Caenorhabditis elegans: one gene and its partners. The protein of the gene in region 1 interacts with the protein of each later gene in a pairwise test. Each region holds a gene or a part of one and is shown on either strand. Other genes may lie near its edges.

Region 1 (5,018 bases):
AAATTTTGAAGTTCTAAAAGATCGCGTTAAATGAGAAGAATTTTACTTACTTTCTTTCAATGGATGCCTCTGCATTGCAGCCATAAAACTTGCTTGTCTAGGCGTGTTACGGGATAAAGCACTTCCAGATATTTTATCAGAGTCTTCATTATTCAATTGTTGATTCTCCGTATCCAATGATACTTTGGAAGTGGATATCTAAAAAAATTATAAAAAAATATAAAACGTGAAAATTATATGAGAAATCTCACATCATCACTAATAGGTGCAAGTCCAGCAGTTGGAGCATGACGCTGGGTAATCGGTACCGCCACAACTGATAATCCTCCAACGATCGGAGAGCTCGCTCCACTTCCATGTCTATTCTCCAAATCACGGAAATATGCAGCCGGTGAGAGTGCTCCGCGAGCTAATGGACGTGAACTTTTCAACCATCCTGCTTGCAATGATGGACGATGTTCCGAGTTTGTAACTTGCCAAGTTGACACCGAGCGACCAACATTTCTAAACGTAGAAATTATAATTTTTGTGAGAAGCTTAAAAATAATTTTTAAATAAGCGATAAAAGTGGGAAAAGTTTGTTTCAAATAGTGGTGCACATCAAGGATGTCGGTTTTCCAATTTGAATTTATTGTTAACTTTTTGATCATTATTTTCGATTTTTCGATTTTCCGGAAAATCGAAATGGTTTTGTTTTTCTTGCCGAAAAATATTAAAAAAAAAAAAATTTTATGAAAAAAAAAATGTTAGAATTTTAACAGAGAAAATAGGAATTCGCTCTTTCTTAAATCACAATTTTGTAGTGATTTTCTGATTGAAAATACGTTTCTTTTTTTGTATTTTAGGGATCACAACGACACAAGGCAGAATGAATACATACCCATATTCAGGTGGTTCTCTGCGAATTCCAGTTGTGGCAATTGTATTGGTTGATCCGTTTCCAGTTAATGGTGACGCTGTATTGCAATACAATTGATCATATTTGGGAAGAGTTGAAGAAGACGAAACAAGTTGACTTCCATACAGACGCGTTGGACGATGACGATCTTGCCAAGACCCGTAAATTGCATTTCGTGCTGAAAATTCTATTAAAAGATTAGAACATCCAATTTTCCTTTAATAACTTGTTCAGATGCAATATTTCTCAAATTTTTCTATAAAAACCGCAGCCGGTAACAAAGTGACAGACGTGTTATTTAGATTGAAAGAGTCTTTAAGGACTACTGTAGTTGGGCGGTAATTTGACAATTTTTTTAATTGCCAAAAAAATTTAAATTCTCAGAATGAAATATGAAAATCTCAGGATTCTTCTTTGGGCGCAAGGGTGTCGACTTTTCACAATCATCGAAAAAATTGATTTCTGATTTTAAGAAAAATCGAATAATTGCAGTTTTTTTTTTAAATTCAAACCGATATTTCAAAAAAAAATATTAAAAATAAAATTGTTCTTTTTTATTTACAAACAAAAAAACAAAAATTGATTTTAAAAATTGAATTTTATTGTTAATCTTCTAAACATTTTTTATTCGATTGTTCGTTTTTGATCGGCTCTGAAAAAAATTCGATGGCACCTTTGGTTAGTAAGGAAAAAAATTAAATTTCTTCGACAAAAAACACGTGTAGAAATTATGTTTTGCTGATTTTTTTCTTCAAGATTTTATGAATTTTAAAAAATATATGTTGACATATTTTTCAATAATTTTAAAGATTTACACTTATGAAACATTCGAAAATATCTCGCAACAAAAAATACTTGGGAACTACAGTACTCCTCAAAGGCGCACACTCGCTTGCTTTCAAGAACATCGGAAACTTTGAGACGGTGTACCGTATTTTTTTGGAGCGAAAATAGAAAAATTTTGCATCTGAGTAATAAATATTCCTTACCTGATGGAACTTGTGATGATACATCCACAATATTTGTCGTATTTGCTTTTCTTCTCAACTGTGGCTGATATTGCTGTTGATGTCCATTTGGTGGCATCGCTGACATTCTTGGACGCATCTCACCGAGCAATGCCGAGATTCGAGCATTCTGAAATTACAAATAATTTACTGTTCCAACGAAAAGAAAAAGAATACTAGAGAACGGGGCGGGACAATTGAAATTTATCAAGCTACCGTATTCCGTATTTATTTTTCACCAATTTCGGCTTTTCTCATCGTACAGCACATAAAATCGGATAAAAGAAAATGGGTAATCGGAAAGAAGCAGGAAAGCGCGGAGCCGATTTTATGAAAGATGCAAACGAGGAGAAAAGCCGTGATTCTGACTGCACTGAATCCAATTCTTTATGGCGAAAAAAGGAGAAAATGGTTAATCATTCTGCTTTTTCTACTACCAATTTTACTTAAATAGCTTTCAGAATAGAACGCTAATGGAATCAGGAATTTTTTTTCCATTTTCTGTTTCTTACATTTTACAGTTAATTCTACGAGTAGCGTCAGCTAAACGTCTGTAAAAAGTAAAATTGTCAGAATTAATTTAACAGAGCTCGAAATAGTTATTAGCATTTTTGGTAAATCTTTTTAATACGATATTCCAAACAAGGATGTCGTTTTTTCGATTCTTACTAAAATCGAAAAAATTTTTTTCTTATATCTCGAAAAATAGCTCAATATTTTGGTCATTTTCCCTTTGTTTTAAAGAAAATTGCATGATTTTTTTTAAATCAACATGCACAAAGTATTTTTTTTTTAATTTAATTTTATTGTTAATTTGCTACAAAAAATTGGAAAATTTTCGCTTTTTAATTTTCGATTTTTTTTCTAGATTTCTCGAACCTTGCTAATAATTATTTCAATTCTGTTGTATTTCTTTTCTCAACAAAAATATTTAATTTGAACAAAATGTAATTTATTCCACCAACCTGAGCTAAATCTTCGTTACTCTGCTGCTTAAGTTGATGCTCACTACGTGCTGCTCGAAGAGCCCAACTGCCGAATGCTCCGTCGACAATGTCTCCTCCTATCACCGACGCACGCTCCGCCTTGACATGGAGCCGTCGATGGTGCTCCTCCATCGAGCCGAAACTCTTCTTTCCTTGTTTCTTCTGTTGTTCGTTATGTTTGACGTGTTTGACGTCGTGTGCCGTCTGACGCACACTATTATTATCTGAAAATTGTATTTTTTGTTAGAAGAGAGTAATATAGAGTTTTGAGGAACAACAATTTTATAAGCAATAAATATTCTTGAGAAAGCAAAAGAAAAGCGATCCGAAAAGCATCGTCCAAAATTTTTGGAGGAAATGGAGAAAGTGTAGCAGAGGAATGGGAAACAAAGGAAATATATTATGCATGTTCACAAAGAAATGACCTCGGAGCAGTAGCAATTGAACCCAGAATCCAATTAGAAATATTTTCGTTCCATGATAAACCAAAAACATATATTTTTGAGCTTCTGATAATTCGAAGGTTTGTCTGGCGCGTTCTGACTACGAAAAGGTTACGGCAAGGAATCACGAAACTTTAATCATTATGCTACAAATTTCGATACAATCAAGGTTTTTCATATAATTTACTTTTGATCTACCTGCTGAAGTTCGAATGACGAGGTTGATCAAAAATAAATTGTTTGAACAAACTGTGATAGTATTTTCTTAATAATATTTTTCTACATTTTTATTTAAAAATACAATGAAAAAATTTTTAAACTAGACGATTTAGAGCAATCAATCCACTTTTATGAATTTTGAAAAGAATCTATTTGAGTAAATAGCAAAACGGTACGCTGTGAATACAAAATGCATTATAAATGTAAATGCTATAGCGATTTCACTTAGTTTGAAATTCAAATAATCCGTTGAGCATCAAAAAGTGCGTAGTTGAGGTGTACCGATATACCTTCATTGCAACGGCGTAAAATAACGACCAATAAAATTTGTGCAGGCGTGGGCTGGCACACATTATACGGCAGAGGTGAGGATGCAGATATTCTTCATGCTCAGCTCATAAAATTCAAATCAGGGCACTTCTAGGCTGGGATGCATATGCTTAAAAATTCACATTCGAGAAATTTAAAAGTATCATTATACAAAACCAATATGGAATTTGTCGAGGAAAATGAATGAAATGACAAGGAGGGAAATGAGGAGGGGGGAGAGGAAGAAGTTTTCAACAAAAAACTTGTTCCCACTTGGCAGGGAAATGGAAAGAGGATGAAAAAAAACGCGGACAAAAGCAGATGTTCGAAAAGAAAACAAAAGTAAATCCTCCTTTCTTTTTTTGTTTCTCCCTCATCATTGTCGATTGGCATCTTATAGTTTTACACCCGGATGTGCCATCCAGATGTAGATATTTAGAGAGATGATAGACGAAAGATTATTCAAAAAGTTTCAAATCTCGCACGGAAGATTCTCAGATCTTAATGAGTGGATCAAGAATGTCTCAGAATTTTCAGAACAAAACCAAATAAAATCATTTTATGACAATAATAGAAATGAATCTTGGGCGGATTGAAACTAATTTACAAAGCACATGAGCTGATATCGTAAATTTTGATAATGAGAGAATTCGAAGCGTTTTTCGAATTACAAATTATGGAGAATATTAGGAACCTTGAACGTTAAATGAAATAAGGAACGAGACTAACGACATCTAGAGGACAGCGATTCGATGAAAAGGACACAAGCCAGGTGCGCCAGTGAAGAAGGGGTGCGCGCGCGAAAACGAGGCAAACACGGACGGAAAGACTACGCGAGTTCACCTTGACACGCTTGTCATCATCATCGTGGCCCTCATCTCGTCCTCAGATTCTGATGAATGAGCGAATTATCTATGGTTGTCGTCGTCGTGTACCACACTAACAAGCATCAGTGCCCAACAGTATACTGTCTGTGAGTGAATGTGTGGCGGCAGTGGCGCCCGATTGCGAACGATAATTATTATGTAACCGATTGTGGCGACGATGGGGATGTCGGTAGTATTGTGACTGGTAAGTAGGAAAATAAGAGACTAAATTGGACCGATCAAAACGAAACTACCACATCGAAAATGACTAGGAACACTGCGATGCGATG
Region 2 (7,885 bases), 1.7 Mb from region 1:
CTAACCACTTGTTCCATGTATGCTGTGAGGAACGACAGTTGCCTCCCGCATGTGTTCAGAAATGCCATTTTAATGTTTATAACAAAGGAGTGGTAGGTTTAAATAGGTCAAGTTTATATTGTGAAATTGAATTTCAAAAATTGTATAGCTGGAATCAATGTTCTTTGGTTCAAGTGAATGCCCGATTGAATTCCTGCCAGAAATGCAATTTTGTGCGGCTCAAGGAAAAGATCATAGCCAGGTAAAAGGTCGTTGAAATCTGCTCAATAACTTCTTACTAGTTTCAGTGTTGCTCACAAAGTCAGGTGGATGCAACGACGGCTGGAAGTAAATGTCTAACCTTCTGCGATCAAACACCCGATCTCTACACTCCAATTGATTACAGCTATGCGCCTTGCCTAGACAGGTTTCCATATCTTTTTATCTTCCAATTCTCGAGGCAAAAGTCATGTTGAATTAAATTGGTTGCAGGTTCGAGGACATGAAACGATGCTTCTATGATAATGTGAAGTCGGATGCAATCACACATTTCGAGGCGAAAAAGAGTTTGCAGGATAAGAGTACATCTTATTAATTGTTTTTGATTTTATATTTACTTAACTTGAGATTTCGAAATAAAATGTGCGATTTCGCAATACCCATCACGACATACTTTGTATTTCATTTTCCATTAAAGCGGAACTATTACACATTTGCGAATTTCTGTGGCAATTGCATAAAAAAACCGGTACCGGGTCTCGACACGAAAGATTCTCTTAAATGCAAAAAGTGTGATCTTCGGTCCGTGGAGTACTGTAACTTCCAGCAGGGCTAATACAAGAGAATTTGAACAGAAAACAATACATAACATTTTTATTCAAAAATGCCAAAAAATTATAATACAATTCAATTTTGAAAACAGTTTTTCGTTGTATTTTGGACCAAAAAAATCGGTTTTTTTTTGCGCAACGTTGTTGGATTCTCAACGTGTTTTATCTCAGTTTTTCCTTGAATTTCGGTAAAACAGAACAAAAAATGAAATGTTCAAAAAAAGTGTTCCAAACTACAGTACTCCTTAAAGGCGCGCACACTTTTAAATCAAAGAAAATTGGTCGTGTCGAGACCCCGTACTGTATTTTTTGTGTAAAACTCGAAAAATTTCCGTGTATGAGTGATCTACTGATTGAAATTGAGAAAACAAAGTTTATCCGCAGATCAAATTTGTTTTTTTTTTCTTTTCAATATTTCACGGCAATCATTTCTTAATCCAAACACGTAATTCACTGTCGTAATTGCTGATGACTCATTCATTTCATACGAACGCTTTTCTTTTGTCAATCCTTCGGCCGTACAAACATAAATTTTTCCTTGTGAAATTAAAAACTCCGCCCAAAGCGAAGAAAATTCCCAGAAGAAATTCGGCGGAAAAGCGCGCTCTACCGAGAAGCGGGGCGCGTCGCGTCGCGTGCCCTGTGATGACAGGGCGACTTGTTCAAGCTTGGCAAACAGGAATCATTTCTCTCGATCAACTGGCTTCTGCATGTTTGACAAAGCTCTCTCTTGATAAGACATTTCCGTTCAATTGTTTTATTTTTACGTTTTCCCTCTTTTTAGGTGCGCTATGAGTCCTCAAAAATTTTTCTTTACTCAGCAAAGAGTTCTAACTTTTGGAATTACAATTTTTCCTTCATTTCAAATCATTCACAGTAATAACAGCGGCCAAAGCTAGCTTTAAAGCTGTATATTTTTCCATTTATTCCTTCAATCTACCGATATTCACTTCTATTTCCCGGAAATGTCTCACTTTTGTGATAAATTTTACGTGACTCATCTTTTTATTTTTATCGTGTTCTCTTTTCTTTTTTTTTCAAACATCTCCATTTGCAGGTATATAATTTATTGTAAGAAGTTTTTCCATTCTACACACAGTTTTCAAAGATGGCGCTCCCAATCAAATTTCACGAGCACCTGCAGCTTCCGAATGCTGGAATTCGGGTGCCCAACATTACATTCTCCAATGTCACAATGGAATCTGATAAGAACATTGTTGTTCGTGAGATGGTAGGTCAAATAATCGCAATTAACTGTTCTAAACGGATAATTTCCAGATTGGTGATCAACAACAGGTTGTGATTATTGATTTGGCCGACACAGCGAATCCAACTCGTCGTCCAATTTCTGCTGACTCAGTAATCATGCACCCAACTGCCAAAATTCTTGCTTTGAAATGTTAGTTTTCAGTACCATTTGACTCTGAAGCTTATTTATACCTTTTTTCAGCTGGCAAGACACTTCAAATTTTCAATATTGAGTTGAAAGCAAAAGTGAAAGCTCATCAGAATGTAGAAGATGTAGTTTATTGGAAGTGGATCAGTGAGAAAACGATTGCACTCGTTTCCGACACAGCCGTCTATCATTGGTCGATCGAGGGTGATGCAGCTCCAGTCAAGATGTTCGATAGACATCAGTCGTTGGCCGGAACTCAAATCATAAATTATCGCGCTGATGCCGAAAACAAGTGGCTCGTTCTTATTGGAATTTCCGCAAAAGACTCCCGTGTCGTTGGAAGTATGCAATTGTACAGTACCGAGAGAAAAGTATCGCAGCCAATCGAAGGCCATGCCGCTTGCTTCGTTCGATTCAAGGTAGGACTAATTCGATGATGGATTTGTCATATTAATAATGTTTTAGGTCGATGGAAACCAAAACCCATCTAACTTATTCTGTTTTTCCGTCAAAACCGATAATGGAGGAAAATTGCACGTTATTGAAGTAGGAACCCCAGCTGCTGGAAACACTCCTTTCCAAAAGAAGAATGTTGATGTTCCATATACCGCTGACACAGCTGGCGATTTTCCAGTGTCTATGCAGGTATGTTGCTTATAGTCGTATAAACAAAATTTGATATCTTTCTGATTGATTGTTTATAATTTCAAAAGCTGAATGGTGTTGTTTATAAAATAAATTGTTGGTTTTCAGGTATCTGCGAAGCAAGGAATTATTTACCTGGTAACAAAGCAAGGATATGTTCATCTTTATGATGTCGAGTCTGGAACACGGATTTATTCGAATCGAATTTCGACTGATACCGTATTTGTGACCTGTGAATACACAGCTACAGGAGGAATAATGGGAATTAACAGAAAGGGACAAGTTCTTTCCGTCTCTATCGATGAAGCTAACTTGGTTCCGTTCGTTACGAACCAGCTGCAAAATCCAGATTTGGCTTTGAAGTTGGCCGTGCGTTGTGATCTGCCTGGAGCTGAAGAGTTGTTCGTTCGCAAATTCAACTTGTTGTTCAGCAACGGACAGTTTGGAGAATCAGCCAAGGTTGCTGCATCGGCTCCACAAGGAATTTTGAGAACACCAGCCACCATTCAAAAGTTCCAGCAGTGCCCGTCTACTGGTCCAGGACCATCTCCACTTCTTCAATATTTCGGAATTCTTCTCGATCAAGGAAAGTTGAATAAATACGAAACACTCGAGCTGTGTCGTCCGGTCTTGGCACAAGGAAGAAAGGAGTTGATAACGAAGTGGCTCAATGATCAGAAGTTGGAGTGTTGTGAAGAATTGGGAGATCTCATTAAGCCGCACGATGTGAATACTGCTCTTTCAGTCTATTTGCGTGGAAATGTCCCGCACAAGGTTGTTCAATCTTTTGCTGAAACTGGACAATTCGACAAGATCGTAATGTATGCCAAGCGTGTCGGATTCCAACCAGACTATTTGTTCCAACTTCGTCAAATTCTCCGTAATTCGAATCCTGATCATGGAGCAAAATTCGCTCAACTTCTTGTCTCTGAGAGCGAAAACGGAGAACCACTTGCTGATCTTTCACAGGTAACGAATGAGAATAAGGATTTGGCTAATTTAAACCTTTTCAGATCATTGACTGTTTCATGGAGGTTCAAGCTGTTCAACCATGCACTTCATTCCTTCTCGAAGTTTTGAAGGGTGATAAGCCGGAGGAAGGACATCTGCAAACGAGACTTCTTGAAATGAATCTGCTCGCTGCCCCAGCTGTTGCCGATGCTATTCTAGCCAACAAGATGTTCTCTCACTACGATCGTGCCGCTATCGGACAACTCTGCGAAAAGGCTGGACTTCTTCAAAGAGCTCTCGAACACTTCACTGACCTCTACGACATTAAGCGAACTGTTGTTCACACCCATCTTCTCAAGCCTGATGTGAGTTTCTAATTAGATTTCTAAAATAAATGCTAATTTATTTTCAGTGGCTCGTTGGATATTTCGGAAGCCTTTCTGTTGAAGATTCGGTCGAATGCTTGAAAGCCATGCTCACTCAGAATATCCGACAGAACCTCCAAGTCGTTGTGCAGATTGCATCCAAGTATCATGAACAGCTCGGAGCTGACAAGCTGATTGAGATGTTCGAAAATCACAAGTCATACGAAGGTCTTTTCTACTTCCTTGGTTCGATTGTCAACTTCAGCCAGGACCCAGAAGTTCACTTCAAGTACATTCAAGCTGCCACGCGCACAGGGCAAATTAAAGAGGTTGAGCGTATCTGTAGAGAGTCGCAATGTTATGATGCCGAACGTGTCAAGAATTTCCTTAAGGAAGCCAAGCTCAACGATCAACTTCCTTTGATCATTGTCTGCGATCGTCATAACATGGTTCATGATCTTGTTCTTTACCTGTACAGAAACCAGCTCCAGAAGTACATTGAAGTCTTTGTTCAAAAGGTTAATGCCGCCCGTCTTCCGATCGTTGTTGGTGCTCTTCTAGATGTTGATTGTAGTGAAGATGCTATCAAACAATTGATCATTAACACTCGTGGAAAGTTTGACATTGATGAGCTTGTCGAGGAAGTTGAGAAACGCAATCGTTTGAAGCTTTTGAATCACTGGCTTGAATCGAAAATCCAGGAGGGAGCGACTGATGCTGCTACCCACAATGCGATGGCCAAGATTTACATAGATTCTAACAACAATCCCGAACGATTCTTGAAGGAAAATCCCTACTACGATAGCAAAGTTGTTGGAAAGTACTGCGAAAAGCGTGATCCTCACTACGCCTTCTTGTCATACGAACGCGGACAGTGCGACGCTGAATTGATCAACGTGTGCAACGAGAATTCACTATTCAAGAATCTTGCAAGATATTTGGTGAAGAGAAGAGACTTCACTCTGTGGGAGCAAGTTCTCAACGAAGAGAATGTTCATCGTAGACAGCTGATAGATCAAGTGGTTCAAACTGCTCTTTCCGAAACTCAAGATCCCGAAGACATCTCTGTGACTGTTAAGGCATTCATGGCTGCCGATTTGCCGAACGAACTTATTGAACTTTTGGAAAAGATTGTTCTCGATAACTCTGCATTCTCGGAGCACCGTAATCTTCAAAATCTGCTCATTTTGACTGCAATGAGAGTAAGTTAATTATTTTAGAAAACATATTCGATCAATCCACTTTCAGGCCGATAGAACTCGTGTGATGGAGTACATTCAAAAGCTTGACAACTATGATGCTCCAGATATTGCTAACATTGCTATAACTTCTGAACTCTACGAAGAAGCGTTTGCCATTTTCAAGAAATTCGATGTGAACTCAAGTGCCATCAATGTTCTTATCGAGAACGTGAACAATTTGGATCGTGCTTACGAATTTGCTGAAAAGTGCAACCAGTCAGATGTCTGGGCATCTTTAGCCAAGGCACAGCTCCAACAAAATTTGGTGAAGGAGGCTGTCGATTCGTTTATCAAGGCCGATGATCCAGGAGCGTACATGGAGGTTGTGAACAAATGTTCTCAAACGGAGCACTGGGAAGATCTTGTTCGTTACCTTCAAATGGCTCGCAAGAAGAGTCGTGAGTCATACATCGAAACGGAACTCGTTTTTGCTCTGGCCAAGACTGGTCGTCTCACTGAACTTGAAGAGTTTATCGCTGGACCAAATCACGCTCAAATCGGACAAATTGGAGATCGTTGCTTTGACAATGGAATGTTCGATTCCGCTAAGATCCTTTTCAACAATGTTTCCAACTTCGCCAAACTTTCCGTTACTCTTGTTCGTCTTGGAGAATATCAAGGAGCTGTCGATGCTGCACGCAAAGCCAACAGCACGAAGACATGGAAACAAGTGTGCTTCTCTTGTGTCGAGAATGGAGAGTTCCGGCTTGCCCAGATGTGTGGACTTCACATCGTTGTCCACGCTGATGAGCTTGAGGAATTGATCAACTTCTACCAAGATCGTGGACATTTCGAAGAGCTCATTGCTCTTCTCGAAGCTGCATTGGGTCTTGAACGGGCTCACATGGGAATGTTCACCGAACTCGCGATTTTGTACTCGAAGTATAAGCCAGAGAAGATGCGTGAGCATTTGGAATTGTTCTGGAGCCGTGTTAATATTCCAAAAGTTCTTCGTGCTGCCGAGCAGGCTCATCTTTGGTCCGAGTTGGTGTTCTTGTACGATAAATACGAAGAATATGATAACGCCGCACTGACAATGATGCAGCATCCAACTGAATCTTGGAGAGAGCAACATTTCAAGGAAGTCATCGCTAAAGTCGCTAATGTTGAGCTATACTACAAAGCAATGCAGTTCTACCTGGATTATAAGCCACTTCTCCTGAATGACCTTCTTACTGTGCTATCGCCTCGGTTGGATCATTCGCGCACAGTTTTGTTCTTCAATAAGCGTAAGTTTAAATTTCGTTTAGTTTTTAAACTTTTAATAACAATAATTTTCAGTGAAGCAAATCCCACTGGTCAAGCCTTACTTGAGACAAGTTCAAAACTTGAACAACAAGGCTATCAACGAGGCTTTGAATCAGTTGCTCATTGATGAGGAGGATCACGCCGGGCTTCGTTCTTCTATTGAGGCTCAAGACAACTTTGACAATATCACTTTGGCCCAACAACTTGAGAAGCACCCACTTGTGGAATTCAGAAGAATTTCCGCATACTTGTTCAAGGGAAACAACAGATGGAAGCAATCGATCGAGCTTTGCAAAAAAGACAAGCTGTACAAGGATGCCATGGAATACGCTGCAGAATCGAGAAACGGAGAACTCGCCGAAGAGCTCTTGTCATTCTTCCTGGATGAGAAACTTTATGATTGTTTTGCCGCCTCCCTTTACCATTGTTATGATCTCCTTCACCCCGATGTCATCATGGAGCTCGCTTGGAAGCATAAGATTATGGATTACGCCATGCCTTACATGATCCAAGTTATGAGAGATTATCAGACGAGACTTGAGAAGTTGGAGCGTTCTGAGCATGAGAGGAAAGAGGAGAAGGCTGAGCAGCAACAAAACAATGGAATGACCAGTGAGTTTTAACAAATATTTAGAATTTAAATTTATTTGATATTTTCAGTGGAACCACAACTTATGCTTACCTATGGTGCCCCTGCCCCACAAATGACTTATCCAGGAACAACTGGTGGCTATGGCGGACAGCCTGCTTACGGTCAACCTGGACAACCAGGATATAATGCCCCTGGATTTATGTAATTCGATAGTTTTATCCCCATTTTCTTACCCCCACCCCCTCACTTTCTCCCCGCATCAATAATTATATTGTAATTTATTGCTTGATGTCTATACACTTTTTTTGTTTAAATTATGATATTCTATTTCTATTTATTCCGTCCCCTATGAAATTGTGATGGTTGTATTCTAATCCGTGAACTTATCCTTAAGGTTGTTGGTCCGATGTGTCGTCTCTCTCAGTTCTGCCCGTTTTCAAAAAAAAGTTGATCACAACTCTTTTAAACCACCAGAACCATCATGAATAAATTAATTCGTTGTTACCAATCGCGTTCGAGTTTCGGATGAAATACTGGTTCAGTCCATCATCATAACATTTTAGTTTTACGATTTTAACTTTTTGTATTATTCACTAGCTGAATTTTTTAAATTGAGATCTAGAATAAGCCATTTTCAG
Region 3 (7,246 bases), on another chromosome or scaffold:
TTGAACTTTTTCAGGCGAAAAATTCATTTAAATCCCATTTTCTGGCTCCAAATCTCACAAAAAATGTGATTTTCCGTCTGAAAATCGCTGAAAATTTCAAAAAAAACCAATATTTTCCAGGACGTCAACTATTCCTTCGTGACGCTACACTCAATCTCTCTGACGTCACACTTATTGGAGCACAAGATGAAGTCGAAATTGATGAGAGCCTCTTTGATAATGAGGTTTCTGGAAAAAACCACTGAAAAATCGATTTTTTACTGAAAATTTACGATTTTCTATTAAAAAATTGCATGAAAAACATGCAAATTCATTGGAAATTGTCGATTTTCGAGTTTTTTTCGGTGAAAATCCGAAAATTTTTTTTTCTTTTTTGAAACGTTCCCTTTTAAAACCTGGAAAAATGTAAAAATTCGCTAAAATCCCCATTTTTTCACTGAAAAATTAGACATTTTTTACTCAAAATTTATTTTTCCATGGAAAACTCTGTTTTTGAGCTAAAAAAAATGCAAAAAATCTGGATTTTTCCGAAGAAAAAGCTTCAAAATTTACAAAATTTGGCATTTTTGGCTGAAAATTCACGATTTTCCACTTTAAAAGTGAATTTTTTGTGATAAACTTCATATTTTCTATCAAAAAATTGAAATTTTCTCACTAAAATTCCGATTTTCTATGGAAAAAACGCCAAAATTCCCACATTTTTCAGTGAAAAGCTACTTGAAAACGCGAAAAATTGCAATTTTATTCCAAAAATTGTTCGAAATTTCGAGTTTTTCTCATAAAATTGATTAATTTCAAGATGAAAATTCGATTTTACTGCCTAAAATGATCAAATTTTCCGATTTTCAACATAAAAAACCTCCAAAAATCCCATTTTTTAGCCTAAAAAACCCCAAAAAATCTCAAATTTCCACTCAAAAAAACCCATTTTTTCCAGGAACTCGAAGGTCTTGAAATGGATTCCGAAGAAGAAGAAGAAGACGATGAAGAATAGGATTTCCCCTCAATTTATTGCATTTTTCTGTGATTTTTCGCCATTTTTTCGGCGAAAAATCCCGTAATTTATCCATTTTTTTGCCCCCCAGTTTTTGTTGATTTTCACGGTTTTTCGTTTCAATTTTTTCCATTTTTTTGCGTAAAGATTTGTTTTAGTTTTAACCTTTTTTTTTGAATTTTTCGCTGTTTTTATCAGCTTTTTTATCGATTTTTTATTGAAAATTTTTGGCGATGAGTCATCAGTTTTTATCAAACTTTTTTGGAGAGTTTTGTGACTCATTTTTACTCAATTTTCAGCGGAAATTTGGTGTTTTGAAGGTTTTTTTTGTAAAAATCGCAAAAAATGCGATTTTTAGCTTGAAATTTCATTTTCCGCTAGAAAAATGTTCAAAATTGCCATTTTTTGGAATTTTTATTCAATTTTTCTACTCAAATTTCCTAAAAATGTCTATTTTCCAACTCAAATTCAGTTTTTTTTTCCGTTGAAAACTGTTCAAAACTCTAACTTTTAAATTAAAATTCAATTTTTTCCATTGAATAATTATTTAAAATCCGATTTTTGATTAATAAATTCAAAAATTATTCACTTAATAATTTTTTCACTTAAAAAAGGTTCAAAAATGTGAAAAAATCCAATTTTCAGCCGAAAAAATCGATATTTCCCACGAAAATTGTGCATTATTTCCGGCTCAACGCGGAGCTGCACCTGTAACTTGTAATTGTGAGTTTTAATTTGCGAAAATCATAATTTTTCAGCTTAAAAGTATGGAAAACGTCGAAAAATGCGATTTTTCTACTCAAAAAAAGCCGGAATTTCCAATTTTCCAGCTGAAAACTGTTAAAAATCGCGTTTTTCAGCTCAAAAAACCCGAAAAATCCAAATTTTCAGATGTCCTACAACGGCTCCTACCATCAAAATCATCATTCAACACTTCAAGTCAAATCGAAATTTGATTCTGAATGGCGTCGTTTCTCAATACCAATGCATTCTGCGTCTGGTGTCTCTTACGATGGGTTCCGGAGGTGATTTTTGGCCATTTTTAGCCGAAAAATCGAAAAATTCAGCGTTTTTTTTTTACCTAAAATACGTCAAAACCCATGTTTTTGACGTAGAAAAACGTTAAAAATTGATTTCTCTACCCAAAAGTTACTGAAATTGTCATTTTTAGGCATAAAATCCCTTAAAATTCAGAAAATCGGATTTTCAACGATTTTCAGCTGAAAAATCCAAGGATTCGGCGTTTTTTGTCCTAAAATACGCGGAAAATGATTTTTTTTACTTGAAAAAATCAGATTTTTTCCGATTTTTACCTTGAAAACCCTAAAAAATCTATTTTCCAAACCAAACTTGGCCAAAATCGGCATTTTTAGGGCTAAAATCATGCGTAAATCGAATTTTCGCCATTTTCAGCCGGAAAATCGAAAAATTCGTCTTTTTTTTTGTGTTTTTTTTTACCAAAAACGAGCGGAAAATGATATTTTACCTGAAAACTCGATTTTTGAAGCAATTTTCCCGTAAAAGTTCAATTTTTCAAGTAAAAATCGATATTTTCAGCCTTGTCGAGAAGCTTCATCACCTGGAAAGTGTCCAATTCACACTGTGCTACAACTCGACTGGCGGTGATCTTCTACCAATCACAAATGACGATGTTAGTAGCGGAAAACTGAAGAAAATTGATTTTTTCAGTGAAAAAAAAAACGAAAAAATCGAGTAAAAATGACATAAAATTGATATTTTTCACTAAAAAATGCTAAAAATTCAATTAAAATGTCTCGAAAATTGATTTTTTCAGCTTAAAGTTAGTCAAAATCGATTTTTAAAACAGCTCAAAAATCGTTAAAAAATAAAAATAATAATAATAAAAAAATCGATTTAATATTCGGGTGTCTCCTACGAGGACAAAAAATCGATCGATTTGAAAACTCACAGAAAAGTCGAAAAAAATCACAAAAAATCAATTAAAAATTGATTTAAAAACTCAAAAAATCGATAAAAATCTCAAAAAAAAATCGATAAAAATCGATAAAAAGTCTATAAAAATCTGAATGTTAGTAGGGAAAACTGAAGAAAATTGATTTTTTCGGTGAAAAAATCGAGAAAAATCGAGTAAAAATGACCTAAAATTGATATTTTTCACTAAAAAATGCTGAAAATTACTAAAACATCACTTATCGATAAAAATCACAAAATTTCGCTAAAAAATCACTAAACATCTTAAAAAATCGATAAAAAGTCCTAAACTACAAAAAATTGATTTAAAAAAATCGAAAAAAGTCTCAAAAAATTGAAACAAAAATCACAAAAATTCGGTGAAAAATCCCCAAAAAATCAATAAAAATCACAAAAAGAATCGATAAAAAATTACAAAAAAACTCAAAAATCGCTTTAAAAAATCAATACAAAACCCCAAGAAATCGGAAAAAATCGATAAAAAATCGATAAAAATCTGTTGAAAAATCACAAAAATTCGGTAAAAAATCCCCAAAAAATCAATAAAAATCACAAAAAGAATCGATAAATTCCTAGAAAAATCCCAAAAATCGATAAAATCCCAAAACTACCATTATTTTTTTTGCAGAACCTCCGAAAATCGTTCGAATCGGCTCGCCCACTGCTCCGTTTGCTCATTCAACGCCGCGGTGAATCATGGGAAGAGAAATATGGTTATGGTACAGACTCTGATAAACGATGGAAGGGAATTTCATCACTTATGGCACAAAAACCACCGAAACGCAGTTATTCAATCTCGAATCCCGAAGATTTTCGACAGGTAATGGGTCTCACAGCGAAAAAAGTGGAATTTTTGAATTCAGCTCGCTGAGAGCTTCGAAATAAGTATAATCATGACCGGGTTACGATGGATTTGAAAAAAGTTGGGTCTCGCCACGAAAAATCGAAACCACAGTAATCCCGTTTCGTGATGGGACCCAAAAATTTCAAATTTCGCAGAACCTAGTCATGATTATACTTATTTGAAAGCTATTGATGAGTTGAATTCAAATTCCGGAAAAAATTTTGAAAATTTCAATTTTTGGTCCCACCACGAAGGAAATTTTCGCTGCGGGACCCAAAATTTTGGAAATCTTCAAATTTTCCGGAGCCCAGTCATGATTATACTTATTTGAAAGCTCTCGGTGAGCTGAATTCGGTTGAACTCATGAAATTGCAAAAATCTGGTCCCGCCACGAAAGTGCCAACCTACAGTAACCCCAATTTCGCGGTGGGACCCGCATATTTCAAAGTTAACGGAACCCATGATTATACTAGTTTTAAAGCTGACAGTGCTCCCAATTCAAAAATATTGATAAAAATCTCAAAAATTGGATCCCACCACCACGAAAATGCCAACATACAGTAATCCCATTTTCGTGGCGAGACCAACAATTTTCAAAGTTCGCGGAACCTAGTCATTCCATTATACTTGTTTGAAAGCTCCCAGTGAGCTGAATTCAGATTTCGCAGTAATTTTCTAAAATTTCGTCACTTTTCGTGGCGGGACCCAAATTTTAGGAGAATTTTCAAAATTGGCAAAACCTAGTCATGATTATACTTATTTTGAAGCCCTTAACGAGCTGAATTCAAATTTCCCATTAATTTTTAAAAATTTTCAATTTTGCAGGTCTCTGCAATCATCGACGTGGACATTGTGCCAGAAGCTCATCGCCGTGTCCGTCTCTGCAAGCACGGACAAGAACGACCACTTGGATTCTATATTCGGTATCGATTTTTCTGGAAATTTCAGATTTCTTGCCAGAAAATCCCAAAAATCTGCAATTCTTTTTTCAGTGACGGAACATCGGTTCGAGTGACAGAACGAGGCGTCGTCAAAGTTTCAGGAATTTTCATTTCCCGGCTTGTCGATGGTGGGCTCGCCGAGTCCACAGGCCTTCTTGGTGTTAATGACGAGGTTTTTAATGGAATTTTCAGAGTTTTTAATCTAAAAATTCCGGTTTTCAGGTGCTCGAGGTGAATGGAATTGAGGTTCTCGGAAAGACGCTGGATCAGGTCACTGATATGATGGTCGCCAATGCTCATAACTTGATTATTACTGGTATATAATCCGGAAATTTGAATTCAGCACGCCGAGAGCTTTGAAATAAGTATAATCATGACTAGGTTAAGATTATTTTGAAAAAAATTGGGTCTCACCGCGAAAATTGCGAGAACCCACTTTTTAAAAAATTTCATTAGAAAATTTGAATTCAGCACACCGAGAGCTTTCAAATGCGTATAATCATGGCTATATTCTGTCAAACTTGGAAAATTCGGGTCTCGCCAAGAAAATGATAAACTACAGTAACCCATTTTCGCGATGGGACCCAAAATTTTCGCATGTGACGCAATCTTGTCGTGTTTATACTTATTTGAAAGCCCTTGATGAGCTGAAAACGAATTTACTAAAAAATTTGAGAAGTTTCAATTTTTGGGCCCGACCACGAAACTGATTTTCGCGATGAGACCCAAAATTTTGGAAAAAATTAGATTTTCGCCAAACCTAGTCATTATTATACTAGTTTTGAAGCTCTTGGTAAGATGAAATCGAAAAATCTAATTGAAATAGCGAAAATTGGGTATCACCACGAAAATCGCTGCCTACAGTAACCCAGTTTTCGTGGTGGGGTCCGAAAATTTAAAATTTCGCATAACCTAGTCTTGATTATGTTTATTTTAAAGCTCTAGGCGAGCGGAAGTTGAATTATTTAACAAAAATCTAAAATTTCAATTTTGGGGCACGACCACGAAATTGGCTTTCGCGGTGGGACCCAACATTTTGGAAAATTTTAAATGTCCGCCAACCTAGTCATAATTATACTTATTTGAAAGCTCGGTAAGCTGAAATCGAAAAATCTAAATGAAATCGCGAAAACTGGGTCCCCCACTAAAATCCCAACCTACAGTAACCCAGTTTTCGTGGCGGGACCCAAAATTTCGGAAAATGTTCAAAATAAACATAGCCTAGTCATGATTATACTTGTTTGGAAGCTCTCAGCGAGCTGATTTTAAATTCTGTAGTAATTATAAAAAACAAAATTTTCAGAAATTTTTTTTCGAAAAAAAAATTTCAAATTTATTTTTTTTTTGAAAATTCAAAAAATCCCAATATTTTCCAGTAAAACCTGCCAACCAACGAAACACACTGTCACGAGGACCGTCACAACAAGGAACACCGAACGCCAGTGAGATGTCGGCCGCCACCGCAGCCGCTACAGGTGGAATTCAGCGCCCGATGAAAATGAACGGAAGCTCCGACGGCAGTTATCATCCGAAACAGCACGACGCAAATGATTCGGACAGTGGAGAGGACTGAAAAACTCTTTTCAGCCATTTTTCCTCGATTTTTTCAGAAAAAAAAACCACAAAATGTGACCATTTTTATACATAATTATATTATTTATATTCTCGCTAAAACCACACACACACACAACCAAAACCGCTTAATTTATTTATTTTCCCCTTTTTCTCCTAATTTTTAATCAAATTTGTCGGCTTTCTCTTCACTTTTTTGCGCACAATTTTCACTTTTATTTCCCCCGTTTCTCGCCCCAAAATGTGCCTTCCTTTCGCCCTTTTTATGTGATTTTTCCCCTTCAGAGCTCTCTGAGCCCATACTTTTTTTTTCGAACTTTGGCTCAAATTTTTTGACAACAGACACGACATACAATTTTTCCCCTGAAATTCACATTATTAGTGAGAATAAATTATTTATTTCAAGCTTTGAGAGATCAGCATTGTGAAAAAAATGTTGCCATTACGGGGACTCGAACCATGGCCTTTTGACTGGAAGCTTTTTCGTCGAAAATCCCACTGCTCCATTTGGACATTTTTGACAATTTCCCAGAAATGACATAATTTCGGGTAAATTTGAATTTTATTGAGTTCTTGACGATTTAAGGCTTTAAAAACTGAGAAAATCTACATTTTCAGCCGATATTCCGCTGATTATTCTCAAATTCTTATTTTTCAAGGTTTTTCTCTGCTGTTTAGGAATTGATATTATAATTTTTGGGTTGAGAATTGAAAGTTTAGCCTAACAACACTATGGAAAAAAGTTTGCCACAGTGGAGACTCGAACCACGGTCCTTTGACTGGAAGCTTTTTCGTCGAAAATCCCACTGCGCCATTTGTACAGCATTTTTGAAAAGTGCCCAGTAATGAAAAGTCTGTAATAAAATGTTACCTTTGAGTGATTTTTTGATGATTTAATGTTATAAAATCTGTGCAAATCTGAAGTTTCAGTTGATTTCCTAC
Region 4 (4,137 bases), on another chromosome or scaffold:
TGTCCGACACTAACTTTTTGTTTTCAAAAGTGGGAAAACAGTGACTTAAGATCATAATTATGCAAATACAGAAGTTGGTCTAAACTTAGGAAAAGATTGAGGTTGCACCAAAGTGTCACCCAAGTTTCACCCAACTCTTGCCAAACTTCTACCCAAGTTTGGAACAAAACAAAAAAAGTTTGGGTTTGGCAAGAGTTGGATGAAACTTGAGTTAAACTTTGGTGCTGCCTGAATCCAAGTTTTGCAGAATTATTGTCCAACTTTTGCACAAGTTCAGCCGACTTCTCATCCAAGTTAATATTTTTTGGGCCAAGAAGTTAGAGCCAAATCCCGAGTTGGTGTGGGTTCGCCTTTTTTATCGAAGTTTTAAATTCAACTCCAAAAATGAACACGTAAGATGTCGGCCACTAAAAACTTTTTGGGGTAAACTGTTTCCAATACAATTAGAGCCTCAAAAAATACAAAAAAAAATCTCAAAAACTTTATTCTCAATCAATCAAGTTCACTATCCCAAAAGACTCTCCAATCTTCCTTTCTTTCTCTTTTCATTCTTCCCAGATGACGACTTCATATCGCGAAATCCCAAGTACTCATTAGAACGGAGCGGTGCGTAGTGTCGGCATCTGTACAGAACCTGCTTAACCTTCACACGCTGTCCGACGAATTCAAGCTTGAGCACGGAGCTATTGTTCTTGTGTCCTTCGTAGTTCAGTGCGGAGAACAGGGAGATCAGGCGACCGCCGAAACGAAGCACACATCCTTGCGGGTACATCTGCAAACGACACTCAGTTATCAAAGGCTTCAGTCACTCCAGCTTACCTCCTTAAACAGTTGATGTCCCCGAATCACCAGAGCAATGTCATTTTTCGCACAAAACTCTTCGACAACACTTTTGCCATAAGTGAATGAAATTCCACGGTGACTGAGGCCCCAGCCGTTGCGTTCCGGCTGAGCCGGGTCCGACCAGAGAAGATCGCACGCTAGGCCGTACGGTGGGACCACCAAGGGACGCTCGATCTGAAAATCAAGATTTTTTATCAACATATTTCAAAGTTAATTGGATTTTCTGGAAATTTGCGGCGATTTTTCTTCCATTGAAAAATGATGCGTCAATGATCTACAGAAATCGCGGGAAAACTATACTACACGACGCCGGTGACGTCACACCATGTAACAATTAATTTCCCGCAATTTTTGCAGATCAAATGGCGAGGGATCCAATTTAGGATCCGAAATTATAGTAATTGGCTAAAAATTTTCCTTACCGAATTAATATCCTCCAAACTTTCCAGCCAAGGCGAAATTCCACCATGTGCACAGAACACCTTCCCTCCAATAACCGCCGCCAACGGCATACAATTGAAAGTATCAATGAACATTCTCCACACTTTCTCTCCTTCATCGTTCTTCCACTGCTCCAGGCATTCATCATAGAATCCGTAGTTCAGCGTAGTATTGACGTCTTCATGATTGCCACGCAGCAAGAAAACATGCTGAGGATAGCGATGTTTCATGCAGAACAGAAGACACATCACCACCACACTTTGTGATCCACGGTCCACGTAGTCCCCGAGGAACAAGTACTTTTGATTCGGGGGAGCCTCATTTGTCAGGAAGATTCGGAGCAGGTGAATCGATTGGCCGTGCATATCGGCGACCACTGTGATTGGCTCATTGCTAATTTCCAGGAGAGCTGGCTGCTCCAAAAACGCTTTTTTCATCTTGTCGGTGAGCTGCGAGATTTCTGAGATGGTAATGTCCACTCTCAGTTGATTGACTTTCTCATTGTCTTCTCCTTTTATAGTCTGAACTTCGGATGACAATATCTTGTACAGCAACGCGAAAACTTCGTTGTCATGGTTGATTTTTGGAAGTTTCTGAAAATGTTAATATTAGATTCGGGCTTAGGCTTGATCTCAGGCTTAGGCTTAGGCTTGTGCTTAGGCATAGCCTAGGCTTAGGCTCAAGTCTCTGGTTCCCTGCCTATGTTCCCGCCTGCCGCCTATTTTTTGCATTTTAATGGCTTGCGAAAGTAGGCAAGTAAGGCGCCGACTCGCCGCACAAGGCTTGTAAGCAGGCTTGTAGACCTTCAAGCAGGTAGGCCCAAAACATTACTTACCTCATTCGAAGAAGTCATTTTGTTTTGTTTGAATTGCCTTTGTTATATCGGTAAAATTGCAAAATAAATTGTTTTTCTTTCTCCAGAATCAATAACGAGATTCTACATGAGATAAGAAAGTGTTGGCAATGTTTAAAAAAAATAAAAGTTTCACGTAAAAATTGTGATTTTAAAGAAATTTTGGCCCTAATAAACAGGTTTAGGCGAACGTGTGTGCCTACCGTCTGGTACTTTGACATCAGGTCTAGGCACAAGGTAGGCAGGTACATCTGCGTCTACAAAAGGAAGGTTTACTGTAAAAAATAGTAAGCACGTGTAACTGCCGACTGCCCTGACTCTTGCCGTATGTGTAGGCACACTGAAGGCAGGTTCAGGGGTACAAGCCTACTTTTTGGACCTGCCTACCGTTTTGGGTTCTGGCTTTCGCAAGGCAGGCGCCTTCAAATTTCATCAAAAATCTTTCAGACAAAAAAGAATTTAATGAAATAAATTAACTTTTTCGCCTGCCTCAATACTACCTGCCTACCGCCTTTTTTCTGCATTTTGGTACATTGATTGTAGGTCACCTTGAAGGCAAGTAGAGGCCTAGGTGCCTACAAATTTCGTACCACAAGATATTTTATCTATTCTGAAGTTCAAACTTTTTTTAAATCACAATATTTTCTCACATGGCAAAATTTTTTGAAAAAAGATACGTTCACCTTGTAGGTACCTAAGTAGTCAACTATTATGCCTATCCTAAAACCTTCTTACCGCACCTCGCATCACCCGTATCCCGGTAATACCATGACGCTGCTGCCCTTTTCACCTGCCAGACAGACCTCTCTTCATTCCGAAACGTTTCGAAACATAACATTTTGTACGTAATAACCATGCCATTCATAATTATGTGTACTCACAAAAAAGGAGTCTACTTGACCTCCCTCCTATATGTATCACTTTCCGATTTCCATTTGAATGATTCAGCAGCCAATTTGGGATGAGGTGAAAAGAAGAAGAAAACAAACATGGGTCGCCTCTTCATACACTTTTCGAATTTTTAAGGTTAGAGAGGGAGAGAGGGCAAAGACACGCAGAGAAAATAAAAGTCTTATCAGTATGATGCACACAGGCATATATGGTCTGTGTATGCTTCTCCACTTTTACTCTCCGGAACCTCTTCACTGCTGTCTCCTTTTACACAGAGATCTGACTCATAAACACAGTTCCTTTCCTGTCATCTGATCTTGTTACTTTCTATGGTGGAAGAGTTTTTCTTTGAATTTCTAGGCCAGATTGTTGCCACCGTAGCCTAGAAAAAAAAATGGTGGCCGAGTTTTCTATTTTGCGCGGGCACGCTTATTGGTGGAGCATAAAATAGTAGCACAACTTTTTTTAAATTAAAAAAAAACATTAGAACTGTTTTAAATAAATCAACTAAATTATCGAAAAAAATACTAATGGTGTCGAATTACCGGTTAAGAAATTTACTTGGTATAGTTACATCACATGGTGGAAGAGTTTTTAAATTTCTAGGCCATGAGTTCCTAGGTTAAATATTCAAATATATTCATGTTTGTTTCCGTAGCCGAGTTTTTCAAAAACATTGTATTTTTGTCACAGATCTATTTGAAACTCGTCTTCCAAAATTAATAAATTTTTCGGTTTTTTTTGGAGCCTGGCAGAGTGTTCTCCTTTCCGCGGCCATGGTTTTTAGTGGAGCACATTTGCATTATAGTGATTTACTCCAATTTTTTGACTTAATTTTGAATTTGTAATGCAAAAAAAAAAAATGTAAATTGTTTTAAAAATGTAGAAAATGTCTTTCCGGAATCCGGTTTTCAGAATTTTTTTTTAATCCTGAAAATTTTACGCTGTGGTTCCCATGATAGGCATATGAGTACGTCCCTACATTATGCCTGCCTGCCTACCTACCTACTAGGCATGTACTTCTGTGCTTAATCAAAGGCTAACTGTAAAATGTAGATTATGAATATTCTGGATTTATATTTTAAAACTTTCTTAAAATTCCTAATTGC

Evidence for each region.
Region 2: the proteins of pac-1 (region 1) and chc-1 interact in a two-hybrid assay, tested with the Caenorhabditis elegans proteins (one study listed by BioGRID).
Region 3: the proteins of pac-1 (region 1) and par-6 interact in binary tests that used the Caenorhabditis elegans proteins (3 or more experiments, as listed by UniProt).
Region 4: the proteins of pac-1 (region 1) and W03D8.2 interact in a two-hybrid assay, tested with the Caenorhabditis elegans proteins (one study listed by BioGRID).

Annotation. Positions count from the first base shown.
Region 1 is NC_003281.10:8,493,115-8,498,132, reverse strand, and holds the start of pac-1 (GTPase-activating protein pac-1), read right to left. Parts: upstream 3,024-5,018; coding exon 2,871-3,023; intron 2,036-2,870; coding exon 1,888-2,035; intron 1,077-1,887; coding exon 881-1,076; intron 505-880; coding exon 252-504; intron 199-251; coding exon 48-198; intron 1-47. UniProt on the Caenorhabditis elegans protein: GTPase-activating protein for members of the Rho subfamily including Rac1, RhoA and cdc42 and other Ras-related subfamilies including let-60.
Region 2 is NC_003281.10:10,201,955-10,209,839, forward strand, and holds chc-1 (putative clathrin heavy chain 1), read left to right. Parts: upstream 1-1,866; 5' UTR 1,867-1,917; coding exon 1,918-2,040; intron 2,041-2,087; coding exon 2,088-2,208; intron 2,209-2,259; coding exon 2,260-2,624; intron 2,625-2,670; coding exon 2,671-2,850; intron 2,851-2,958; coding exon 2,959-3,819; intron 3,820-3,863; coding exon 3,864-4,166; intron 4,167-4,213; coding exon 4,214-5,368; intron 5,369-5,414; coding exon 5,415-6,636; intron 6,637-6,688; coding exon 6,689-7,267; intron 7,268-7,315; coding exon 7,316-7,452; 3' UTR 7,453-7,750; downstream 7,751-7,885. Other genes in the region: dbd-12 (DB domain-containing protein), read left to right, coding at 1-92, 149-241, 288-406, 472-574. UniProt on the Caenorhabditis elegans protein: Clathrin is the major protein of the polyhedral coat of coated pits and vesicles. May play a role in yolk protein clatherin-mediated endocytosis by oocytes during oogenesis.
Region 3 is NC_003279.8:12,667,741-12,674,986, forward strand, and holds par-6 (Partitioning defective protein 6), read left to right. Parts: upstream 1-1,639; 5' UTR 1,640-1,717; intron 1,718-1,885; coding exon 1,886-2,019; intron 2,020-2,551; coding exon 2,552-2,645; intron 2,646-3,575; coding exon 3,576-3,767; intron 3,768-4,514; exon of another isoform or gene 4,515-4,580; intron 4,581-4,616; coding exon 4,617-4,714; intron 4,715-4,783; coding exon 4,784-4,904; intron 4,905-4,954; coding exon 4,955-5,048; intron 5,049-6,108; coding exon 6,109-6,305; 3' UTR 6,306-6,707; downstream 6,708-7,246. Other genes in the region: T26E3.4 (RWD domain-containing protein), read left to right, coding at 121-224, 938-994. UniProt on the Caenorhabditis elegans protein: Necessary for apicobasal and anterior-posterior asymmetries associated with cell adhesion and gastrulation during the first few cell cycles of embryogenesis. Required for localizing/ maintaining par-3 at the cell periphery.
Region 4 is NC_003279.8:2,797,708-2,801,844, forward strand, and holds W03D8.2 (Serine/threonine-protein phosphatase), read right to left. Parts: upstream 2,138-4,137; coding exon 2,120-2,137; intron 1,965-2,119; exon of another isoform or gene 1,902-1,964; intron 1,878-1,901; coding exon 1,266-1,877; intron 1,018-1,265; coding exon 820-1,017; intron 773-819; coding exon 506-772; downstream 1-505.